Kluyveromyces lactis: one gene and its partners. The main gene of each other region encodes a partner of the protein of the gene in region 2 in a complex. Links are inferred from orthologs where the notes say so. Each region holds a gene or a part of one and is shown on either strand. Other genes may lie near its edges.

Region 1 (2,945 bases), on a different chromosome or scaffold from region 2:
TTTCCAGTAAAACTCCCCTTCGATGATATCTATATTCTCACTGTCTGCCTCTTCACTTTTATTTTGAGTGTTGGAACCATCTTTTAAAGCATTATTATTTTTATCGTAAATTAGTCTGAAAGATTCGTCAACACGAACTGAAAACTTTATCACATCTGAACCATCCAATTTGATACTAGATCCAATAGTAGGATCTTGTACGAATTCTCTTTCATGGTCGAAAGAAACTAGATTATCATCAAGATCCTTATCTTGCTGGAAAGGTTTGAAAAATGACTTCTTCTCAGACAGATCTGAGAGGACTTTATTATCTTGACTTTGACTCCTCACCGATAAAGACATCTTAATCAGACCGCCTGTGTGCTAGTTGCTAAGCTATGCCATCAACTTTGACCAAACTGTTAGTGAACGGTAATCTAGTTTGTGTCCGACGTCAGTTTTTCTTCAAATATTAGCAATAATCTGACCTACACTACTATGGAGCGGACCGCTTAGACAGGCAAAAAACAAATAAATTGTCGCCATGAAGACACGATAATTTGATGCGATAAGATTTGTGCGCTTAAGATAGAAATTAATAAAGACTAACTAAACTTATAGATACAGATTGATCATCTGAAACCGATATGTGAATTTAAAATTTAATTGTTATTGTTTCCATAATTATAAGGTGTTTAATCGAACAAACCGAAACCCATGTCGTCATCAGATTCTTCTTCTTCTTCAGCTGGAGCTTCTTCAGCAGCAGCTTCGGAAGAGCCGGAAGCAGCAGCAACTGGGGCAGCAGAAGCGTAAGCATCTGGGTTCTCAATTCTGTCCTTCAATTCTTCAATTTCTGGGTAGATGTAGTCAGCAGCGATAGCGACAGCCAACAAGTCCTTGTAGTTGTTGATCAAAGAGTGACCGACAGATGGCAAGGTTGGGTAACCAGCAGCCAAGGAAACACAAGCAATGGTGTTGACAGCAGAGATGAAGTGAGAGATCAATTCATCGTCAGTGATATCCAAGATGGAAGCTGGGAAGACTTGACCGTTGTCGTAAACTTGAACGACGGTCAAACCGTAGGTGAATGGAGAAATGTTCAACAAGTTCAACAAAGAAGCTTCAGAAGCACCGACTCTCTTACCAGCGTCAACGACCTTAACGTCAGAGACAATTTCAATGGTACCTCTGGCAATCTTGGTTGGAACACCCAAAGCTTGGAAGAAAGAAGTCTTACCTGGTTCCATACCGGTGTTGACGGCGAGAACCCAGATATCTTCTGGGGCAACAGCACCAGCTCTGGCTGGAGCGGCAACCTTGTTGGCGATGATGACTTCCTTGATATCTTGCAAGGAATCGTTGGTGAAGATGAAACCAACGTTACCCTTGACGAAAGGCAACAACTTTTCGTAGTCTGGGAAGTCAGAGATGAAACCTCTGACAGCTCTTCTGACCATGGTGTTCTTACCCATCAAGACAACAGCTCTGCCTCTCAAGTTCTTTCTGACTTCGTGCATTTGTTGGGAAGACACATTGTCAACACCAACAACGAAGACAGACTTGTATTCTTCCAAGTATTCTCTTAGCTTGGCAAAGTATTCAGCTTTCTTTTCACGGACGCCCCCCATTTCGACTTTTTTAGTGATAGGATGTTTAAGGTAGTACCTGTGGTTCTTGTAAACTATATACAAACTACAAATCTAATCAAGTACTTAACATCCAATTATGTATATTCATATGTAAAGGACGTTTTATCATAAAATTCAATATTTTTCAAGTTTGGTTTCCCTCAGCGATGAAAAATTTGAGATTTTCCAATTTCCAAATTAAGGCCCACATGAAAAACAAACAAGCATCCGTTAATCATACAGAAATAGGTGTAACTCATATGGTATATTATAAAAAAGAAGGAGCTTGAGTGAATGGTATCAGGATGTACCCTCTACGCTTGAAAACCATCTGGTGCTGAGGATTCAATCCATATGCCGGACTTGTTAATACTTTAACGTTGTATTGCTTAATACAACGGGTTTGCATTGTTTAAATGCACGTGACCACTAGTCAAAGAGGAAATTAATTCCTTTGGAGTTTTATCAAGGTGCATGGGTGTTGTGTTGACATTTTTTACATATGTAAGGGTGTAAACAGTCCGCAGAATAGCTTTCATCGTATCAATGCTCATCCCATCTCGTCGAAAAGAAATCTACAATAACTTCCCAAGTTATCGTAGCATTGAGTATTGATAATTCAATCGATGAGAAACTCGCCTTAGTTGAGTAATTAGCTACAAAGCAACAACGATGGCTTCTTCCAAACTAAAATATAACGAAATTGAAGTAGAAGGCATAGATCCTTCCACCTACGTAGAATGTTCGACCTACATCAAAGAAAAAATCATCCCAGAAACCCTGCGAAGTGCAGGTTGGAACAATGCGTCTGAGACATCTGTAGGAGCAATTATTTCGTACAGTAAAAACTCCAATATTAAACAATGTGTGGATCAACTCGCAGCTATCACTGCTGATACATTCGTACTTGTTGCTTATGGAGTTCATGTACAAAAAGCACTTTCGATAATAGAGATCTTCAAGACTACTGAAAACGGGAAAGCACTACATCAATTTAATAAACTAGACTCGTTTATTGAAATCAAGGCTGGACGTAATGAACTATTGGATAGAAAAGTCAACTTGCCTATACTTATTACCTTATTCACTAAACAAGAAGTCAAAAGCCTTAATAAATTCACAAAACAATCGTAACTTCAACGTTGACACAATTTAAAGTATACTGATAACGCTTCCAGTCAAAACATATTGTATATACCTTTGTGATCCGTCAGGGCGGACAGTGAACAAATTCCGATCGTCAAAAAAAATATCGTACCCAATTTATTTGGTAAATAGCTACAATATCGCAATTGCCATGTTCGACCTATATTTCATCTGTATTAGGCAAGCAAG
Region 2 (2,175 bases):
ATTTTATTATTGACGAAATTATGAAAACCAAGAAAATGGATACAGATTTTTTTTTTATCTATCATGTCAGCTTAAAAACGCCCGTTGGTAAGCGCTCAAGGAAGAAGTGTTTACTTGTTCATCTTCGCCGTTTTACAGTTCTTTCTTATGGAAGCGTTGAGTATATGCGTATTGGCTCGCGTATGCGCTGACACCACACGTAAAGTTTTTGGTAATATTGAAAATGAGATTAAAAACAAAACTATAATCATGTAATTCAATTTTAATATATTAACATTCATTATACTATAATTAGAAATCAATTTCACTCAGGATTACACAATGGAATGAACAGTCAGTCCTAACCTTTCGTAGGTTGCTTCACAGTGATCCAAGGGAAACACTGAATTGAAGGAAAGATATTATTTACAGTAACTTAGTAGAAGTTACCCTTTCGTGGGGAAGTGAGTTCAGTCCTATTGAGATATCTAAAATTAGTAATCCGATATAGTGTAACGGCTATCACACCACGCTCTCACCGTGGAGACCCGGGTTCGACTCCCGGTATCGGAGAAAAAATTATCCTTTTTTTATTATCACTTTTGCATGTTATAATATGTAGCTCGGGACTGTTCATATGGTGCTGTCATGATTGTGTGTAAAACCCAGTCATCTCACTTTAAATTTCTCATTATAATATATTCTGTTTTTTCCATTAATGGAAATAAATCCCACTTAACACCCATACACTACACCCATATTGACAGTTCTGCCCTGAGATACGCATAAATTATATTGTATTTCTACCGAGCTTGACAACACTTTTTGGGGCCGGTGGTAGTTGAAACCCGTGCTATGGGATATTCTGACGATTGGCAACACGTAGCTGTTCCTGTTTTAAGTGTTTTAGTGTCTCTTACATCTATGGCGTTGTCTTGTACATCTTCTTCTGTGTAAACTTACCCTCCCTTGTTGTCGTTTTTGGATCAACAAAACTTCAAATCTTGTTCAGTTTTCCAGATTTTCTGAATTTTCACCGAATAATATTTTTCACTGGAAAACTAGCTAGATTTCAATAAGATATTGAACGTTTAATTATACAACACGTATTTATTGATAAGTTGTAGTTAGGTTGTTTGTTGAGGTTCAATTGCTTGTTGTTGCGATTTTGCTATAGATCCACATATACACATCATACCTAACTAGCAATGTCTGACGCTGTTATTTCTTACGCCTCTTTGATCTTGGCTGATGCCGGTTTGGATGTCACTGCCGACAACTTGTTGACTTTGACCAAGGCTGCCGGTGCCTCTATCGACAACGTGTGGGCTGAAACCTTCGCTAAGGCTTTGGAAGGTAAGGACATCAAGGAAATCTTGTCCGGTTTCCACGCCGCTGGTCCAGCTGCTCCAGCTGCTGGTGCCGGTGCTGCTTCTGGTGACTCTGAAGCTGCTGCTGAAGAAGCTCCAGAATCTGAAAAGGAAGAATCTGACGATGACATGGGTTTCGGTTTGTTCGATTAAACGTCAAAATATAAAAAACAAATAAAACAATTCAACACATTTTCTCAAGGAGCATTCCTCCCTCCCTCGAATTTCCTTTTAGCGTCATATTAATCTATTACTTACCACAGGTATCGTCATCATGAAGAAATATTAGAAACACATTGGCAAAAATACTGGCAGTTGGGACATACTACACTAATAAACAGAGCATATTTTGGTATCTCATCTACTATCTGTCGATACATCGAATATCGATTTTCTCGGAATTGGTACAGTTTTTTGGATATGTCATTTCATGTGTATATATAATTTGTATTCGTATTTCTTCTAGATATATATCATCTGTTTGGAATGGACCATATCAGACTTTGTGGAGTGTTTTTGATTCCTTAATATTTTTTGCGTTATAATATATATGAGATATGCCTGTGTACCTACATCTGTACAGAAATCCCCTTCTTTCGAATTGGACCCTGTGCGAACTTTACTGTGTAGAACTCTATGTTAAGCTTTCTTCCATTGTTAAATATACGTCTGCCGAATTGACATCTGAACAAAAAGAAAAATGATAAGAATCACCCGTAAACTAGTGAAGATAATATAGGTTTCTAGGTCACGTATTCAGTTCGTTAGCCTGTAATTGAACTATGCGTCCGTATCCCTTAAACGTGCCCATCCTTGGCTTTGCTAT
Region 3 (2,163 bases), on a different chromosome or scaffold from region 2:
CTGGAGATCTTAAATCCAGGGTCACCGAATCAAATCTTGCATCTTCCGACGATACTCCAAGGTAGCATTTCACAGCGAAGTATGCCTGTCCCCTGAGTTTCCAACTCGTATCGAATAGCGTGCTTAAAGCACACCTATATACTCATATATACCAAAAACAAATAAAAAAAATAGATGAGATAATAATCATGCAGTGATAATGACGATATAACAGAGCTTGTACTAATAATACCAGGGAAAATTCATACTGTGTATAACCTCAGTCATTTTTCCTTGTGAAGCCCAAAATAAAACTTTAAAAGCTCGCAAAGACAATTAACACAGGTAAAAAAAACCTACCACTGGACGCTTAATACAAGCTGTATTATCATCATTAGAGTAGTAATCTTATCGTCTCATCAATGAAAGAATGCAGATAAAAAGTATGCGTTTATTATAACTTATTTGACGAGTTTGTTCATTTCAATCTGGATGGTTCGTTCCTCAGGTAAAAATTGCCAGTACAAAGTGCTGGTAATTAAATCAATTCAAATTCAATTTAAATTCAATTCAATAAGAGTACTTACCCCACACCATGGGTTGAAACAGACGATTGGTGGAATTTCCAAAAAAAACAGTTGATATGGTATTAAAGAAAGTATTAGTGTCTCTCTAGACTACCCTTACAACTTGTTAACGTTGAAAGTTGGTGGCAAAGATTGCAACAATTTCTTGGCCTTACCAGCATCGTTAACAATCAAGGTGTACAAGTATCTGGAACCTCTTAGCTTGAACTTGGTTTGTCTGAAAGCCTTACCGTTCTTGTTCAACTTCTTGTTGATCTTGACGGTAGCAGAGTTGACATCTTGTCTTCTGATCAATTCCAAGAATTCCTTAATATCAGCGATTTCCTTAGCCATTTTTGTTAATGTACTTCCTAGTTGTTGATGCTTGGAGATTCACAGAAACTATTAAGACAAAAGAGTTAATAAACTGTAATTAAAAGTTATAAAGAATACTAAACAAGAACCGATAATACAATGTAAAAAACGCTAAACATCAAAAAAACACTAAATGGACATATACAAAACACCACTATTAACGACAAATGTTAAAATCTAAAACGTTAAAACTGTCGAAAGTTGTTCGAAACTAAACGTTTACTGGCTTGCCAATTGCACAATACTCAATGAGCACAGTCGATGAGATTGGTGAAAAGTTTAGTTGATGGTGTGTGGGTGTCAGGAGGTTGGCTTTTAGAGATTTTTTGGGTTTCTTTGAGTATTATACTACCCAATTGAGAATTTTCTCGTTTTGTATCCGGATGTGTGGGTTTTTATTTTTCAGTGTTTGGAGTGTATGGGTGTTATTTTAACAATGGACAGTCCTTTGTTAATCACGTGATTTGAATTCTTTAATCCTACTATTGGTTCAGGTCACAAGAATACATCACAGGACTAGACATGCCAGCATCATGAATAAGATATCCATTCATTTACTAGATAACCGGTGGGGCATGATTATGTGTATATATATATATATATATATATATATATACTATGTTTGAAGGGTTCTACAACACATCCTCCATTTCCACGTCTTCCAAGTCTTCCTCCTCTTGCTCGTTCTCCTGTTGTTGTTGTTGATCAAATTGGTCTTGAATCTGCTGCTGTTGTTCTGGATCAGCGTGTTGTGCCAATTCACCAAGCGTAGCAGCTCTTTCAGCTTCCTTCAACTTTTTATATTCCGATTTTAAAGTATATTTCAAGGCATACGGACCCTTTTTCACAAGCATAGCAACTTGATCTAGCGATTCCTTTAAATATGCTTCTGGTTGTCTTGTTCTCTCCTTCAAACCTTTCAAGGACCAATAATCGTATTCATCAAACAACTTGAACAATAGATCCAAAAGTTCCTTCTTTGGCAAACGGATAGCCCTTGCGTTGTTCTTCTTTTCCTTTCCAACTTTTAAGAACTTGGAAGTGTCGGATCTCATCGACATACCGGCGTTACTCATAGTGACACCAGGAGTTTGGTCAAGCACCGTAACCGTTGGTTTGTGGATGTTTCTAACGATTTGTCTTCTATGTTCCACAATTGTATGGTAATTTGGATCGTCTATCGAGGGCATCACTTGACATTCGTGGTACACTTTCCCCGTCACTGCAGTTTTCTTCGGAATAG

Evidence for each region.
Region 1: RPP1B (region 2) and RPP0 share a complex: the UniProt entries of both Saccharomyces cerevisiae proteins name them as parts of the large ribosomal subunit. The link is inferred for Kluyveromyces lactis from reciprocal best matches to the Saccharomyces cerevisiae genes RPP1B and RPP0.
Region 3: RPP1B (region 2) and RPL38 share a complex: the UniProt entries of both Saccharomyces cerevisiae proteins name them as parts of the large ribosomal subunit. The link is inferred for Kluyveromyces lactis from reciprocal best matches to the Saccharomyces cerevisiae genes RPP1B and RPL38.

What each region holds. Positions count from the first base shown.
Region 1 is NC_006038.1:532,397-535,341, forward strand, and holds RPP0 (60S ribosomal protein uL10), read right to left. Parts: upstream 1,611-2,945; coding exon 675-1,610; downstream 1-674. Other genes in the region: KLLA0_B05885g (uncharacterized protein), read right to left, coding at 1-342; ribonuclease P/MRP protein subunit POP6, read left to right, coding at 2,283-2,744. UniProt on the Saccharomyces cerevisiae protein: Component of the ribosome, a large ribonucleoprotein complex responsible for the synthesis of proteins in the cell.
Region 2 is NC_006042.1:543,810-545,984, forward strand, and holds RPP1B (ribosomal protein P1 beta), read left to right. Parts: upstream 1-1,187; coding exon 1,188-1,502; downstream 1,503-2,175. UniProt on the Saccharomyces cerevisiae protein: Component of the ribosome, a large ribonucleoprotein complex responsible for the synthesis of proteins in the cell.
Region 3 is NC_006039.1:1,609,278-1,611,440, reverse strand, and holds RPL38 (60S ribosomal protein eL38), read right to left. Parts: upstream 900-2,163; coding exon 663-899; downstream 1-662. Other genes in the region: KLLA0_C18238g (PEX28-32 family peroxisomal membrane protein), read left to right, coding at 1-65; transcription factor IIF subunit TFG2, read right to left, coding at 1,553-2,163. UniProt on the Saccharomyces cerevisiae protein: Component of the ribosome, a large ribonucleoprotein complex responsible for the synthesis of proteins in the cell.